Arabidopsis thaliana: one gene and its partner. The protein of the gene in region 2 interacts with the protein of the main gene of each other region in a biochemical or structural test. Each region holds a gene or a part of one and is shown on either strand. Other genes may lie near its edges.

The links. The genes of interacting proteins can lie anywhere in the genome.
Region 1: the proteins of AT1G14390 (region 2) and AT5G01890 form a complex in vitro, tested with the Arabidopsis thaliana proteins (one large-scale study listed by BioGRID).

Annotation. Positions count from the first base shown.
Region 1 is NC_003076.8:339,938-348,803, forward strand, and holds AT5G01890 (Leucine-rich receptor-like protein kinase family protein), read right to left. Parts: upstream 5,521-8,866; 5' UTR 4,714-5,520; coding exon 3,257-4,713; intron 3,171-3,256; coding exon 1,724-3,170; 3' UTR 1,439-1,723; downstream 1-1,438. Other genes in the region: AT5G01881 (uncharacterized protein), read left to right, coding at 1-329; AT5G01895 (uncharacterized protein), read left to right, coding at 3,428-3,973. UniProt on the Arabidopsis thaliana protein: Leucine-rich repeat receptor-like protein kinase that may play a role in vascular tissues development.
Region 2 is NC_003070.9:4,921,103-4,929,068, reverse strand, and holds AT1G14390 (Leucine-rich repeat protein kinase family protein), read right to left. Parts: upstream 5,033-7,966; 5' UTR 4,793-5,032; coding exon 3,547-4,792; intron 3,471-3,546; coding exon 3,349-3,470; intron 3,270-3,348; coding exon 3,023-3,269; intron 2,943-3,022; coding exon 2,749-2,942; intron 2,653-2,748; coding exon 2,275-2,652; 3' UTR 2,155-2,274; downstream 1-2,154. Other genes in the region: UBC1 (ubiquitin carrier protein 1), read left to right, coding at 933-1,057, 1,154-1,179, 1,276-1,365, 1,463-1,551, 1,647-1,775.

The DNA of each region.
Region 1 (8,866 bases), on a different chromosome or scaffold from region 2:
TCAATATACGGAACAAGCTCTCGCTTCATCGATGGTCAATCCTCTTAAGATTCCGAAAGCATCATCATCATCTCAAATCCAAACCGTCCGATTGGGTCAGATTCCGACGGAGTCTTTTTGCTCTCTTCCGTGGACGAAAACAGAGGGAAGTGGATACGAAGAAGAAACTCATCAAATTGGTTAGGAATCGAGCGGTGGTAGTGGCAAAGAAAGCAAAAGGCGTTGGTGTTGTGGTTACTCTCATCATCGTCGTCATCAATTTTCTAGTCCCATGGATCAACAAGCTGAGCAGCGAATTAGATTGTTATGAATTGTTTGGTATTAAATAAAAGCAACGATTTCTTCTTCTTTGTCCCTCTTTCAACATTCCCATCTGACCTCTGTGATTGTTGGTGAAAGAAGTGATTGGGCCAAAGCGTCACATTTCTTTAGGCTACCAGGCCCAAATATTCTGATAATTGTTTTATTGGACCAAATTCGGCCCATTTATTGCCGGCTAAACAGAAAAGGTGGGAATATGGACTTGTTTTATCTCCCAACTTAGATTGTCACAAGACTCTATTTTAGTGGAGAGCAGTGATATAAGATTTGCAAAGTCGTCCAGCGCTTACTAAATTACAATTGTTTGAATCTTCTTTGCATTGACGGCCCAAAATGTTGATGTTGCTCCATAATAGTCCATATCCACATTCATTTTCTTATTAAAATATATAAACCGAAGCCTTTTTTTTTGTGGAAATGTAGCCGAAGGTGCTTTTAACAGTGGAAGCAAAAAAAGAGGAACAACAAAAGTTGTAATGGAGTTTAAATTGTAAGGTAAGGAATATTGTAATGTGCTTTTTAGTGTGTAAACGAGGAGTATAAAGGGGGAGACAGTAGACACGACATGAGAAAAGCAAAGACATAATAATGATATTAAAATGAGAAATGTGCCTGAAATCTGAATCGTCTGTAATTTACACTGAAGTAACTTTATTTTGAGATACGTTTCTCCGGACCACCATGTGTGATGAGTAATGTATATGCATTGCATGGCTTAAATGAATGAGAGTGTATGCTCATTAGCTGACAAAAGTAAAACTTAAAAGTTTTGGGAGTAATGAAAATGAGAAATGAGTATGTGTGTGGGACACTCCATAACTATACAATAATGAAAGCATTACAGAAAAAGCTCATGCTTGGACCCTTTGTGACTTTCACTTCACAATGGTGGACTTCTCTTTTTCGCTTTATGGAAAAGAACAATCAAAAAGCCTCTGAGTAATGATTATTTTGAAACATAAATTAAAATTTGTGACAGTGCGAGACTCTGAGTAATGCTTAGTGCGCTTGACTGACTTTATGCCATTTCAAATTTTTGTACAGAATCATATTGTTTTCTATTTTGCATCATGCTTACTAAACAGAGATTCAAATAACACGTCCAAAATAGCAAACCGAGAAACCTTAACACAAAGGCTGCATTGTAGTTATATGTATAATTGGGAGTTCTTTGACCAACAATCTTTTTAGTGTAACAGAAGTTGATCTTTTGGATCTACTTTATGAACCAACCTTCAACATTGTGAAACCTAGTGTGAAGATTCACAACTTAACAACATTGTGAACTCACGAGAAAAACTTCTTTATAGAAAAGACGAACACTATATTATGATAATATGAAAATTGAACAAGGAATGAAGAAATACAAACAAGGAGGATTGATTCATCTGTAGTTGACTAATCACTCTAAGTCATGAGAGGGACATTGTATGAGCTCTAATATCTTCACCACTTCCTCCATCTCCGGCCTATTCGACGGCACTTGGGACCCACACACCAACCCTAGTTTAATCACCGGTATTGCCTCCTCCGCTGGAAAATTCCCTCTCAACCGAGGGTCAACGCACTCCTCCACCCTCCCTTCTTCTAACCCTTCTCTCACCGTCTCACACAAGACCACGACGTCGTCCTCAGCGTACTCCACGGGTCTCTTCCCTGTCACCACCTCCAGCACCAGGATCCCAAACCCGTAAACATCGCACCTGTCGGTTATCTTGACTGTCCGGCATGCAAACTCCGGGGCTGTGTACCCCAACGCGCTCTGTACCTTGCCACTCAAGACGCACCTGTCCAGCGCCGAAGCCAACAGTCTGGCCAGCCCAAAGTCAGAGACTTTAGCCTCCCCTGCGGCGTCAATGAGCACATTCGTTGCTTTCATGTTGTAGTGAGTGATGTTACTGCTATGCAGAAAAGCCAGACCTCTTGCTATCCCTAGAATGATACTGAAACGTTGACGCCAAGTTAGGCAAACGCTCTCATCTCCGTGGAGATGTCTGTACAAGCTTCCGCCTGAAACAAACTCGTGGATCAAGAGCTGCAGCGATTGCGTCCAGTAGTACCCTTTTATCTCCACCACATTCTTGTGCCTCAGCTTCCCGAGTTTTCTCATCTCTCTCTCGAACTCCTCCTGCGACTTTATTAGACCCGACACTGTCAGTTTCTTAACTGCCACAGGACGCCCATCCTGAAGACTCGTTTTGTACACCACACCGAACCCGCCTCGTCCCAGCTCGCTGTCCTTGTTGAGCAACGCATCAGCGCCAGTGGTGTCAAACACGTCCACTTCCCCTGAGAACATGACCAGCTTTCCAAACTCTTGATCTTTACTTGGCGAACAGCTGAACGTCTCTCCAACCGACAGAGCGAGAGCAGCAGCTGCATCGTGACGTGAAACACTAGATCGGGCGTGCACGTTGAGCAGAGTTACAGCCACCACCCCGATGGCAATGACGGCAGCTGCGCCAATGGCAATGAGCGCAGATATGCTCAGAACGCTCTTCCTGATCTGCCCTGTGAGAGCAGGACCATTTGTTGGATTGGAGGAGTTGGGGTTGAGGACGATTGGTTTGGGGTGGACAGAGAGACATGAGCGGTTAACGACGGAGCCACAAAGGGATGGGTTTCCGGTGACAGCAGAGAGAGGGATGGTGTTGAAGAAACCTCCAGCTGGCAGCTCCCCTGTGATGTTGTTGTGGGAGATGTTAAAGGTCAAGAGATGCGAAAGTTTCTCTATTTCTTTGGGAAGACTTCCCGAGAGATTGTTTCTCGACAGATCAATGTACTCAAGGTTGCTCAGACTGCCAATGCTCCCCGGAATCGCACCGGATAGTTCATTCTCCGATAGATTTCTGCATATTACTGCTACATTAATACTGAGAGACGATAAAACACACACAGTGAATTAACAGAAAGATAACAGATTGAGTTGACTTACATTGTGTTTAAAGCCGAACAGTTAGAGATCTTTGCCGGAATCTGGCCGGAGAGGCGGTTTCTGTGGAGATGAAGTTGTTTCAGGGAGACGGCTCCTCCGATCTCAGAAGGAAGGGTTCCGTTGAGAAGATTACTACTAAGATCAAGAATCTCAGCGACTTTCAATCCTCCAATGCCGGTGGGTATGGAACCGAAGAGAGAGTTGGTGGACATATTGAGCTGCAACAAACTTGTGAGAATCCAAATGTTAGACGGTAATTCACCGGTGAAGCCGTTTGAAGACAGATCGAGGACCCGGAGACCTTGGAGGAATCCAACGATGGGCATAATGGTGTCGTTCCCTGATCTTTTGTGGAGGCTAAATCTGGAAAGCGAGGAACTTTCAGAGTTTCCGGTGAACATCCACTTAAGCACATCTCCGGTGAATGAATTCTTGCTGACATCAATGGAGATTAGGTTGGAGCAGTTGGAGAGAGTCTGTGGGAGCTCTCCAGCGAGCATGTTTGCGGATAGATTGAGATCCTTCAAAAACTCGAGATTTCCGAGGGAGAATGGGACAGTGCCGGTGAAGTTGTTGGCGGAGAGATCAAGAATCTCGAGAGTGGCAATGTCGCCGATCCAATCAGGGATTTCTCCGATCAGAGAGTTTCCTCGCAGACGGATGGAGCTGCAAGAGCCCAGGCTTTTCATCGAATCCGGAAGATTCCCGGAGAAGTAGTTCTCACTCAAGTCAAGCGATTTAAGGGAAGAGCATCGTCCGATGTCGGAAGGAACGTCACCGGAAAACCAGTTCCTGGATAAGTTGATATGACGGAGATCGTAGAGACCGCCGAGGCCATCGGGGATATCTCCTTGGAGGAAATTGTGAGAGAAATCAAGGGACTTTAAGCTCTTGAGGAACCAGATATCTCGGGGCAACCTCCCAGAGAGTTGATTGCTTGAGAGGTTAAGATGGGTGAGAGTAGAACAGTAGCTGAGGGAGACAGGAATAGAACCTGTGAGTTTGTTGTTAGCCAAGGAAACGGACCTCAAGGACCCGCATTGCTCGAAGAACCCGTCTGGGATCCGACCCGAGAGATTATTGCCACTGAAATCGACGACTTGGAGGCTGCCGAGGTGAGGGAACTCGGGGTTTAGGGTTCCGGTGAGGTTGTTGTTGGAGAGGACCAAGGTGTGGAGGAACTGGAGACGGAGAAGGCCACGGCCGATGTGACCGGAGAGAGAGAAGGCGTCAAGGCGGAGCTCCGAGACCCGATTGGTGGCAGGGTCGCATGTGCAACCGACCCAGTTGCAGGGATCGTAGTCTTCCGAGTTCCAAGAAGAGAGCTTAGAGAGAGGGTCGTCGAGTCCGGCCTTGAAAACGATGAGACCCAAAACGTCGTCGTTGAATGTCGGATCTGCCCTCGCTGAAACGACGGCAAGGAAGAGGAAGAGTAGTGAAACGGCGCCGTTGAACATTTCCTCTCGCTTTTAAAGATATTAAGGAGGTAAAAAGCGAAGAAAGAAGGCTAGTCGGCCATGGCCATGGATGATGATGCAGAGCTCAAGTAAGGTTTTGATGCTTGAGGATAACTAAACTGACCAAAAAGCTTTTCTTTTTACCGGAAAAGAGCTGCAGTTTTAACATGAGCACAAGAAACTGTTATTGGAGAAAAAGAAAGAAGAGGAAGAAGAGTTTGAAAGGGTTTAGAAAAGAGAAAGAGAAAACACAAAAGCAGGGGAAGAGTAAAAGGGAAGGTAGAGAGCATTAATGGTGGAATTAAGACAGACACCAAGAAAAAAAACAGAGAAAAGTGAGAGAGAGAGAGAGAGAGAGAGAGAGTAAAGAGAAAAGGGAAGCTCCGGGAGATGAGTTTGAAAGCTCAAGGATTCAAGTCGCTCTAGGAGACAATCTTCTCCTCTCCCCGCTTTTTATTACTACTTTAATACTTTTTCAAAAAAAAATATAAGTAATAATAAAAAAATAAAAAAAGAGTCTATCACGCTTAAATGATCTGATCATGTAGATGAGAGATTTGAAGCAGCAGAGACAAAGAGGATGGAGTAGAAGAGAAGTGATCTCTCCCCCGAAGCCTTTCTTGTCCCTTAGCATGCATTGCTACGCCATCATTTCCTTTCTTTTATTATACAGATAATTACTTAAGTGATTTTAGACGATCCATCTATGAAGAAGAAGGTGTAGAGAGAGAGAGCTTCCACACCTCAAGCACTACTACTCTTAGATTAGTCGTACCACTCACGCATGTGTTTACTAATCTTATGTCAATTATAAAAACATATGCATCTCAATGCATCATGCATGTATAGTTTATATAAGATTTTCAGTAGAATCACTTCATTGAATGCACACAGTGGAGAAGTAGCGTAAACGGTGCTCACTCCATCTCACAACCTTCCCGTTGACTTACTTACCTTCACTCCTCTTTTCAATTTGTTCGTACGAATTTTTTTATTTATTTTGTTGGTTTTTATCTGTGAATCATACAACTAGTTTGATGGAAACTAACTCCTTTATTATCACTCACTAAAAAAAAAAAAAAAACTCCTTTATTATCACTCACTAAATTAGGGGAGATTAAATTAATAGAGAGGCAAAAAAAAGAGGGATAATGACTGATATGATCATTTGAGGATAAAAAAAAAACATGCCTACCAAACGATCTCAAGACTCTACCTTTGTTTCATTCCCAAGCAACAACTCACCACTTCCCATTATTATGTTTCACATGTAAAAAAAAAAAAAAAAAAACACTTACATTCATGATCCCCTACTCCCTCGAGTAGAATTGTTTTAATGTTTTTTTCAAAAAAAAAAAAATCTACTTCTAACTTCTTCTTTTTTGGTTATGATTAACACAAATTCTTAGTAACAATGTTTTGTTCAATATACAGATATTATAAGGACAACTATCACTCTTCAACTTTAATTTCAAGTTGAATGTATTGTGAATCAAGATGTGACCATCGTTTCTCAATTCGATGGAATTGTTTATCCATTGTTAGGTAGGTATAGAAATTGTCTTCTTTTCCTATAAAAACTGTACACTTACCAATTTTGTGTGTGTGTGTGTGTGTGTACGTGGTGTTTATTATAAATGAGTATTTGACACCCAAAGAAAGAAAAGAATAACAAATATGTATGGTTTAGCCCAAACTAATGATAGACGTAACCAATATGGTTTTATATGTAATGTTAAATCCCTGTGCACCCTGCATTAACCATGTCCATGCCATCACAACTGACCCTATATTCTCTGTTCTCATGACACACGACATGTTAATTTCTAATTTTGGGTTAATGGGCCCAGCCACAAAACATATTCAAAGCTTCGATTGCCCAAGAGTTGAAGTTGTCCAATAGGGAGCAAATATATATCTCCCGCTTCCATTTGCTTGACGTAACAACAGATTTTATTCTGACTTGGGCATGTTCACCTAATTAATGGGCTTTTTTATTCTGAATATCAGGCCCATATTTGACTCCTCAACTTATAAGCCTTATTTATTATATGCATTTAATTTCCATGTACTGTCACTGATCAAGCTCTTATCAAACTTTTTTTTTTGTTTAGTTTTTAAATACCGTAAACACAAATCAAAATTAACAAGGTTTTAAATATTTTGAAATAAATAAATAAAATATCAAATTTAAATATTTTGGTTTCTGTTTAAATTTGAGCAAAAAATATATGCTTCAAACATCTAAAAAGCGATATTAGACCATTTATTATGGGGTCAATATATTGACATTCTTATATCATGCCTTTCATCCTATAAACATTAGTCAAAGCATAAAACGGTCTTAAAATTAAAAATATATAATACTAGATAAGGCCCGCCTAAATAGGCGGGTGTAAGATGTAAATGTAATTTTTATCGATAATATTTAAATTTTGAATAGTAAAATAATAATCGATACATTGTTCTTGATATATAATTTTGAATAGTAAAATAGTAGTCTTATACATTTTATTTTGTTATACCCATTCAATCTTATTGATGATATTTGAAGTATAAATAGTAACCTACACACTTTTTTTTATATTATAATTTAGTATTTAGAAGAAAAAATAAATTTTTATCTTATACATTCAATTTTGTAATACAATTTAACTATCTATTTCATAAAAAACTCGATTTTAATTCTACACACTTTATCTTACTTGATAATGATTTCATGTCAAAATAGTATATATATATGAGATCAAATCTATATCTTAGTTAATATTAAAAATTATTAACAATTAACAAAACATAATTCATAATAATAAAACATTTGTTAATACCATATATATTAAAAATTTGACCAATAACATATATATATATATATATATATTTTTGTTAATTTTCCTTTTGGTTAAGAAAAATAAAATATAATATTTTTTAGATATAGACATATGAATTAGTATATGTTAATAATAATTTATTTTTTAGTTTTCTATTTCTTTAAGAAGAAAAAAGTTAATTGATTTCTTTTTACGTATTTCTATTTCTTTAAGAAGAAAAAAGTTAATTGTTTTCTTACACATATCAACATCTGATCGATAGATTTGACACGTGGCATAATCCTATGAGTTAGTAACTTTGAAAACCATACTTTATATAATAAGATTGTTTTTTTGTTAATTTTCCTTTTGGTTAAGAAAAATAAAATATAATATTTTTTAGATATAGACATATGAATTAGTATATGTTAATAATGATTTATTTTTTAGTTTTCTATTTCCTTAAGAAAAAAAAAGTTAATTGATTTCTTTTTAAGTATTTCTATTTCTTTGAGAAGAAAAAAGTTAATTATTTTCTTACACATGTCAACATCTGATCGATAGATTTGACACGTGACATAATCTTATGAGTTAGTAACTTTGAAAACCATACTTTATATAATAAGATTTTTTTTTTTGCTAATTTTCCTTTTGGTTAAGAAAAATAAAATGTAATATTTTTTAGATATAGACATATGAATTAGTATATGTTAATAATGATTTATTTTTTAGTTTTCTATTTCTTTAAGAAGAAAAAAGTTAATTGATTTCTTTTTAAGTATTTCTATTTCTTTAAGAAGAAAAAAATTAATTATTTTCTTACACATGTCAACATCTGATCGATAGATTTGACACGTAACATAATCATATGAATTAGTAACTTTGAAAACCATATTTTATATAATAAGATTGAATTTAAATAAAAACATTGAAAAACATAGGTTTTAAAAAAAAAAATCAAATTATAAATTGTTATTTTCCATATATTTTGGGAATCAATTATATGATATATATATAGCATATATTTATTTGTTTGACCAGAAGAACGATGGAGATGGAACAAATTAGCTACATTGAATATATCATGTTTAATTAGAATGGTAAATAATATTACATACTACTATTACTGTACAGTACGTCGATTAATTAGAATGGTAAATTACGATCCGCTGGCCGAAGAAGTACGGAAGAAAGTGGAAACGATTTTGACCAGAAAAGTGAGAGCCAAGTGTGAATATCGCAGTGTGTTTATACTTAACCAACCCATCAATTCAAATCAAGAATGAGACTTTATTTTTCCACACGGACGTTGCTTTCACTCTTACCTCTTGTTAACCTAAGCTTTT
Region 2 (7,966 bases):
GAGACGAGGCTTGAAGATGAATTGGTTTGTCTAGAGAGATTGGAGAAACAAGACATACCACAAAAACATTTCTCTCTAGTAACAAAAACATCACTCTACTCTACTCTTGTGGTTTGGGTCTGGATTTTAGTCCGGTTAGTGGTACAATGGTTTATATTGGTTTATTAGAAATATATAGTTTACGCTACATTAAGAAAAGTACTCTAATTTGTCATCTGAAGATTTACATAAAAAAGATTACATGTCATCGTTGTATGTTAACTAACACTAATCTCCCGGTTAAAGTGTAGATTGCCCTAAACGGTTTAATTCCGGTTAGGAACAAACCAACCACTCGCTCGGTCGTCCAAAGGGCAAAGCGAATCCAACTTTACAGATATGTCAGAGAGGAGCCAAGCTTCTAGAAGATCATTCATTCATCACTTATACGATCTCTTCCCAAATTATTGATTTTTTTTACCCATTTCTCTCATCGCACGGTGATATTGAGAATCGCCGACCTGAATCGATCGGAAAACTTTCTCTGATTACCGGCGGTCAACACCGCTGAACACATATGTTTGTTTGACGACCTCTTCTCTCCGCGATCTTTACCTCAACAACGAGATCTGTTTCCACGGTACCATTTTCATCCGATCTCTGTTCTTCTATGTTTGTTTACTGGATCCGTTGATTTTACTTTCATCTTATCATTTGTGTGTGGCTATTTTGGTGAATTGATGCGATCTTAAGCTGTTTCTAGGTTCAAGCCTTATATGTTTCTTCTAAGCTAATCATAGGTCGTAGACTTGTTAGGAAGATTCGAATCTAGTACAAAGTTAGCAACTTTAGCATACGTAAATCGTTAGTAGTAATTTCTAGATTGATAGAGGTTCGAGACCTTAAAAGGTGATGAATATTTGGTGGGTTTTGTTTATTAGAAAGAAAGGAGGATGTCGACGCCAGCAAGGAAGAGGTTAATGAGGGATTTCAAGAGGTTGCAGCAAGACCCACCTGCGGGTATTAGTGGTGCTCCACAGGACAACAACATTATGCTCTGGAATGCTGTCATATTTGGGTAATGGGAACAAGTACCTTTAGATACTGGCTAAATATTTCTGAAACTTTTGTCATTTCTGTACTTACTTAGACCTTTTTGTTTCTAAATTTGTAGGCCTGATGACACACCATGGGATGGAGGTATGGTTATGATATGTTATTGCATTTTGACAAGAAGCATAAATTTTTGGGATCGTTGTAGTGGTGTTCTTATGTCTCTTTCTTGATGCTGTTCAGGTACTTTCAAACTCTCACTGCAGTTCTCTGAAGATTATCCCAATAAACCACCAACAGTTCGGTTTGTGTCACGGATGTTTCATCCTAATAGTAAGTTATAGAGATACAACATTGGATTTTCTATCCACCTGGTTGATGTTCAGCTTTTGCCTCCAATTAACGTTCTTCTGCTCTATTCGTTGTGTAGTTTATGCAGATGGGAGTATCTGCTTGGACATTCTACAAAACCAGTGGAGTCCAATCTATGATGTTGCTGCTATACTTACCTCCATCCAGGTGAATTCAAAATGCCATATGAACATCTCTTGATGCCCTTAAAAGCTTGAATTGCTTTCTTCTTCTCTAATCCGTTTTTCCCTTTGTTATTGCAGTCCTTGCTCTGTGACCCTAATCCGAATTCTCCTGCAAACTCGGAAGCTGCTCGGATGTACAGCGAAAGCAAGCGCGAGTACAACAGGAGAGTGCGTGATGTTGTTGAGCAAAGCTGGACTGCTGACTAGTAGTAGTTTGTTGTAAGCGTTGTAGCTCTCTCTACTTTCTCTCAATCACGATTCAGCAACAGCTTTCTTCTCTTTTCATTCATGTCTTGTGTTTCCAAAACTATTTAAGTGATTCCATGCTTTGATGTAACCCAACATCCTTAAAAAAACAACTTTGTACCAAACCATCTGAATTATTCACTTTTGTGTATATATGTATTACGATTTACTTGCTAGCTACAAAAAACAACTTTGTACCCAAATTCCACAAAGTTGCGATATTTTATTTAAGGGTTTGTGGCCTTATCCTTCTGTTACACCCTTTCATTGCCTTAACAATTGCATTGCTTTCTTTGTGACGCTAATCCAATTTCTACACCAAAATCTGAAGCTTCACATGAGACTCGTAAGTACCTTAAGTATTAGTAGGTTCAACTTTATGTATTCTCATATAGGCCTTGAATTTGACATTGATCAGTTTCTCTATGTTCTTCAAGGATGGTGATTTTATATTTCTCTTCTATAGTTCTGAACCACCAAGCCCGAGGTTCTCACTGCTTGTCCATCCTTGTTGCACTTGAATTGTGTACTGCAGATTCCATACAACATCCTCTATCGATGGCCGCTTCCTCTGATCTTCACAAAGACAGTTAATGGCAAACTCTACTGTGGTTCTCAATGACTCGTATGCATATGTTCCTCTCACACACGGATCTGCCAAGCTACGCAACACCGATGGTTCGTCTCTCAAACTGTTCTCCAGCTGAAGCTTCAAGCTCCCCAACTCTGAAGATGCAGCTGCTATTACTTTGCCTGTGATGATCTGAATTAGTATCACTCCAAACTGGTACACATCTTCTTTCTCTCCATCTTCATTACTAGGGCTCTCCGCTCCAACCTGAAATTCCCCCAGAAGGTTATATATTTCATGAGAGGTTAAACTGAAGATTAGAAGCTATATCCTGATTATATTATATCTGGTTTGTTTATATACCTTGGATGGTAAAGGAATACTATAACCACTGAGTTTTACAGTGAGTGTTTCATCAAGTAAAACATTCTCTATTTCCAAATTGTTCCCAAATATTCCTGGTGCCACTCCTGTGTGCAAGAACTGTATTCCTCGAGCAACTCCAATCGCTATCGACATTCTCTGAGGCCATTTCAACACCTCTTTCTTTCTCCAATCTGCCAAAAACATTTCCAAATAATTAGTTTCCCAACAAAAATATAAGTTCTTGAAATCGATAATCTTTTTCAAGTATTACCGGTGAGGTAATCCCTCAAAGACCCGTTAGAGATATATTCTTGGACAATGAAAATAGTGCTTCCGGCATAAGGATGATGATCTTGATAAGTACCAATGCAGTGTCCAAGAACACTGACCAAATGCATATGCCTTAGCTTTGATAAAACTTCCATTTGTTGAGCTAAATTCTGTGTTGAATTCTTCTGTTTCAGCTTAATACACCTCACTGTCACTGCTATGCCTTCTCTAAGACAACCTTTGTACAGCTGTTTTGAAATTAGATATATCGATTAGTTAGACACTCGGATCAATTTTAAATCATGTCTTATTTACATTTTCCTTTACCTGTTCTCCACAGAGATTCTCTGCATCAAAATTGTTGGTTGCTTCTTCCAGTTCCTCCAAAGAGAAAACTCGGTATGGTGATAGTCCAATCACCGCGGATCTCATGGTTTGCGGTACACGTCCTGCATTTGAAAAAATCAAGCTAGTTAGGTTAATGGGTGTGAAAACTTGATTCAAGATTTCAAAGTAATAGCCTACTTAGATCTGGTACTGTCTTTGATGTGGTGGACCTGGTGGTGTTGCTGCAAACAGTGACCTGATCGACGTTGTTTGCTTCCAAAGGCTCTTCTTTTGATCTTGATTTTCTCATCCTAACCAAAACCAAGCCAGCTAAAACCGCTGAAACGAGGATCACACCGATGATAATGCCAATCACCAATCCAAGTTCGATTCCTGTATCTTCTTCTTTCCTTTCTTTATCTTTAGTGTCAGACTTCACAGCAGCTACTGCTTGCTTTGCTTCGTTTTCACAGAAGGTAACTGGACGCTGATACTTTGCAGAAGGAGAACCATTTATAGACAAGCAATTGAATGTGAAGAGCAGTACTGTCTGTTTCTTGGAAGAGAAGCAAGATGGAAGCTTCCCAGTCAGAAGATTCCGAGAAACATCTAAAATTCTAAGCTTGGAGTTGCACAACGATGAATTTGGAAGTGATCCACTCAGCAAGTTTTGTGCTAAACTTAGATTCTGAAGCGAAGGAAGCGAAAGCAGGAATCTTGGGATTGAGCCAGTGAACTTGTTGGAGGAAAGATCTAAGCTCTGAAGCTTATTCAGCTTCTTGATCTGTTCTGGAATCTTTGATCCAAAAGAGTTGTTCTTCAATGAAATAGTAATCAAGTTACTTGCAAGTGAAGGAACAACTTCAGGACCGAGTTTATTACCGCCTAAATTCAGCTCTTGAAGATTCGACAATCCTCTGAGATCAGGAACACTTCCGTTAAACAAATTGTTCGCTAGAACAAGACTTCTCAGATTCTTCAACGACGAGATCTCTTTAGGAATATTCCCAGAGATGAAATTAGAACTGAGATTCAGAGATTGAAGAGATGAAGATAACCTGATGATCTGTGAAGGGAGAGGACCAGAGATGCCAAGAGAGACCAGAGACAATGTCTTTAAGTTTGAGAGTTTTGTAAGAACAGTGAATAGTGAGTCGCTTGAGAATCTTCCGGGGAGCTTAACGGTTCTGTTCCCCGTGACGGTTAATTCAGTTACATGACCATTGAAACAGAGGATTTTGAAAGAAGGAGAAGAAGGGAGGTAGCAGAAATTGGTCCAGTTGCTCCATGATCGAAGAGTTGGTGGATATTGTAAATGCTTTTGGATTTCTAATAGAGTTCTTGATTCACTTGATATTAGCTGTGATTCTGAGACTGATGGCAGAAGAAAAAGAAAGAGAAGAAAAGTGAGAGAAAAGGCCTGGCTTTTAGAGGAACTATGCATTCTCTCAGGAAGAATTACAGAGAAATTAGAAAGAAAGATGTTATTGTGGCTTAAGGAACAGAAGGTCTTTCTGTTATTGTAGCCGAGATTAGTGTTAGTATTTGTTTAGTAGTCTAAAAAAATGGTGTTTTGTACATAAATTCTAGAGATTTTTTTAGATCGGAAGCAGATTTTCTAGGGAAATTGGGAGATAAAAAAATGAAACAATGTTTTTGGGACAGAGCAAGAAACAAAATTAAGTGGAGAGAAGTTCTGCTGAGAAGAAGACAATAAATACAAATTTTGTTTAATTTTTGTTTCTTATGTTGATTGTTCATAAGTTTCACATTGACAGACTGTTTTACTGCTTCGAAGAAAGTGAATGAAATTTTTTAAAAGCATAAAATGAATTAGATCCTTAAAATACGTAAAATCCACATGAAATATCTGACTATTTATCTACTTTTGATCTAAAATTTCCACAATTTAGAGTTATTTATTTACTTCAACTGGTTCTTAATTAATTTCTCTGTTATGGTCAGAAGACCTTTCTTTATTACTCATATAACATGCATTTATTTGATACATAATACATGCATAAACATACAAATACATACATGTTTGACGAATAAATGTTGTGTAGTAGTACTTCTCTCGAAATCCGTTGATCTCTTCCCCAAGGTAAATTCTTTCATCTTTACCAATTTTTTAAAAAATATAAATGAATAAACTTACGAATAAATGTTTGTAGTTTCTTTTATAACATTTTAACTCCTGTAATATCAATACTACTTGTAAAATAACAAAAAATACATACTTAATTAATGAGCAACGTTGCATTAATTGTTAATGCATAGAGATTTGATAGATATATAGCGACCAGACAGTATGTAATAAAAGTCAACCAGACCAGTGAACGAGTTTTTTTACACGTGCTCTTTCGTCAATGTAAATATGTAATGATCAGATCGTGCCGTTAAGGATCATCCAAAGCCACCGTCGCAAGGAAAATCTAACCCCGTTCGTTGGATTAAAAGCTCAAATAAAGAATTACATGTCCTAACCAAATCTTTTTCTCGAACTACACTTTTAACCACTTGTTGTTTTTCTCGAAACCAGAAGGACACCAAATGATCATCTATATACAGTAAACCAACAAATGATATAAATCGTACTTCTTTTTTCTCGTGGTCATCAATCAACAATTCAATATCAAACTGTTACAAAAAATACCAATCTCAAACTAATAATACTACCAATTAGTTCGGCCATGATATATTTTCATCACTATTGTCGGTGAGAAATGAGTGTCATTTTGTTTTCGTGTGTTTGGAAAGTGTTGAGATTCTAACAAATGTTCAGCTGTTTTCTTTTTGGTGTGTGAATTGTGATGAACTGTCCATTACTTTCTCTTTTGTTCCTTTATTCTTTTTACATCGATCTCTCATTGTTCTTTACTTCTTTTTAAGTGGCCTGACGTGCGATCCTAATAAAAAGAAGGTTGGTTATATACAATTTTTGACAAAAACCAAAAAAGTTTTGTTGTATAAGAGGAATTATAGAAACCATGCATCACCAACACCAAGTAGTAAAAAGTTTCATCCCAAAACAAGTGACCGTCATCGTAGTAAGTTAAAAAAATGGCTGAAAACAAAAGTTTTCAAGTTCAAAATACAAGGTTTTATCAGAAGCACTCAAAACCAATATTTTGTCACAGCTTCCAAGTTTCCAAGTAATCATGATGAAAAAATATACTATTTTCTAAAAACAAAAAGGTAAGGGAAGATAAAATGCGAGTTTGCAAGCACATCACATGCAACTGCCTTTGTAATAAGCGACACTGCCAAAGTATCAATTAATATTATACAACATGCATTTCTTTTCAATTTTATATGCAGCTTTATTATTAAAATCCTTTGTCAGATAACTTACAAACTGTTATTTTTTGGGCTTATAGGCTTATTAAAGGTTAGAATTTAAACCCATATATGTATCCAACTAATTTAAGGCCCAAAATATGCATCTTTAGGTCCATATAAATTAGGCATGTTCAAAATAAATTACCCAAATTATATAGCATATAGTTGAATAAATTCAGAAAAAAAAAAATATCATAAAGTTTACACTGTAGTTTAGTTGTGACATAAAATTTGCTAATGTAAAGTTATCCACAAAAAAAATTCAAACATTTTAAGATATTCATTTCTTAAAACCAGGATTCAACTTCGAACAGAATCAAATCTAAACTTTATTATAGTGATAATTTAATCATGTTTCTTTCACATTCGTTTATGAAACGTCAAAAAATATCTAGTTAGAATACAATACATTCCTATCATGAGCTGGTTAGTGGTTACGATTTAAATAATTGATTAGGAATACTAGATTAGATGTTTGGATTAAGCGAACTAACCACTTGGATAATGACACCCATCATTCTTGATTGTTAGTATTGTTTTAGAAAAAAGGTTATCACTTATCATCAATGTCATGATCATGATCCAAGAAAAAGGAGGGTATTTCTGTAAATAACTCCCTTTGACTCCTTTAATTGGGCCCAGAAAGGCCTAGTTTTAGACTTTGCCTACACATCATTCCAAACGACGTCGCTTTGAACCGAAATTTCTTTTGTTTTTGTCTATTCCTTAATTAATTTTTTCTTTCTAATTAAAAGTGGTAATATCTGTCATCTTCTTCTTTCGCTATCAGTGGAACCGTTGGGGAAGACTATTTGTTCACAGTGAGCTACCACTATGCCTTTAAGCCTTTTAGGTCATTGATCTTGTTTCCGACTTTTAGAAGGAAGGACAACATTCGAAGAACAACCACAGTAAGTTTGGTACTACTACTCATCAATTCAATTCTCTGAGGTTGACGTTTTAATTTCCTTTTTCACCATTTTTGCTAAAATTGTCTGCTTTTGATTTATACCCAGATCTGATTAATCTCTGATCGTTAGATTTATCTTTATATCACTTCCTCAGCTCTGAATTTGATAGAAAGGTTTGATTTTTACTTTGGTATCTTGCTCAATTGGAACTTTTTTTCTTTTTCTTTCTCAATTGGAACTTTACCAGCTTAATTTTTGGATATTGGTTTATCTGCTGGATCTTCATGATTTTGGTTTGCTGTCTTCAAGATCTCTGCTTTTGTTCACTTCATTTAATGCCATCTGTTTTATTTCTGGCTTCCGTT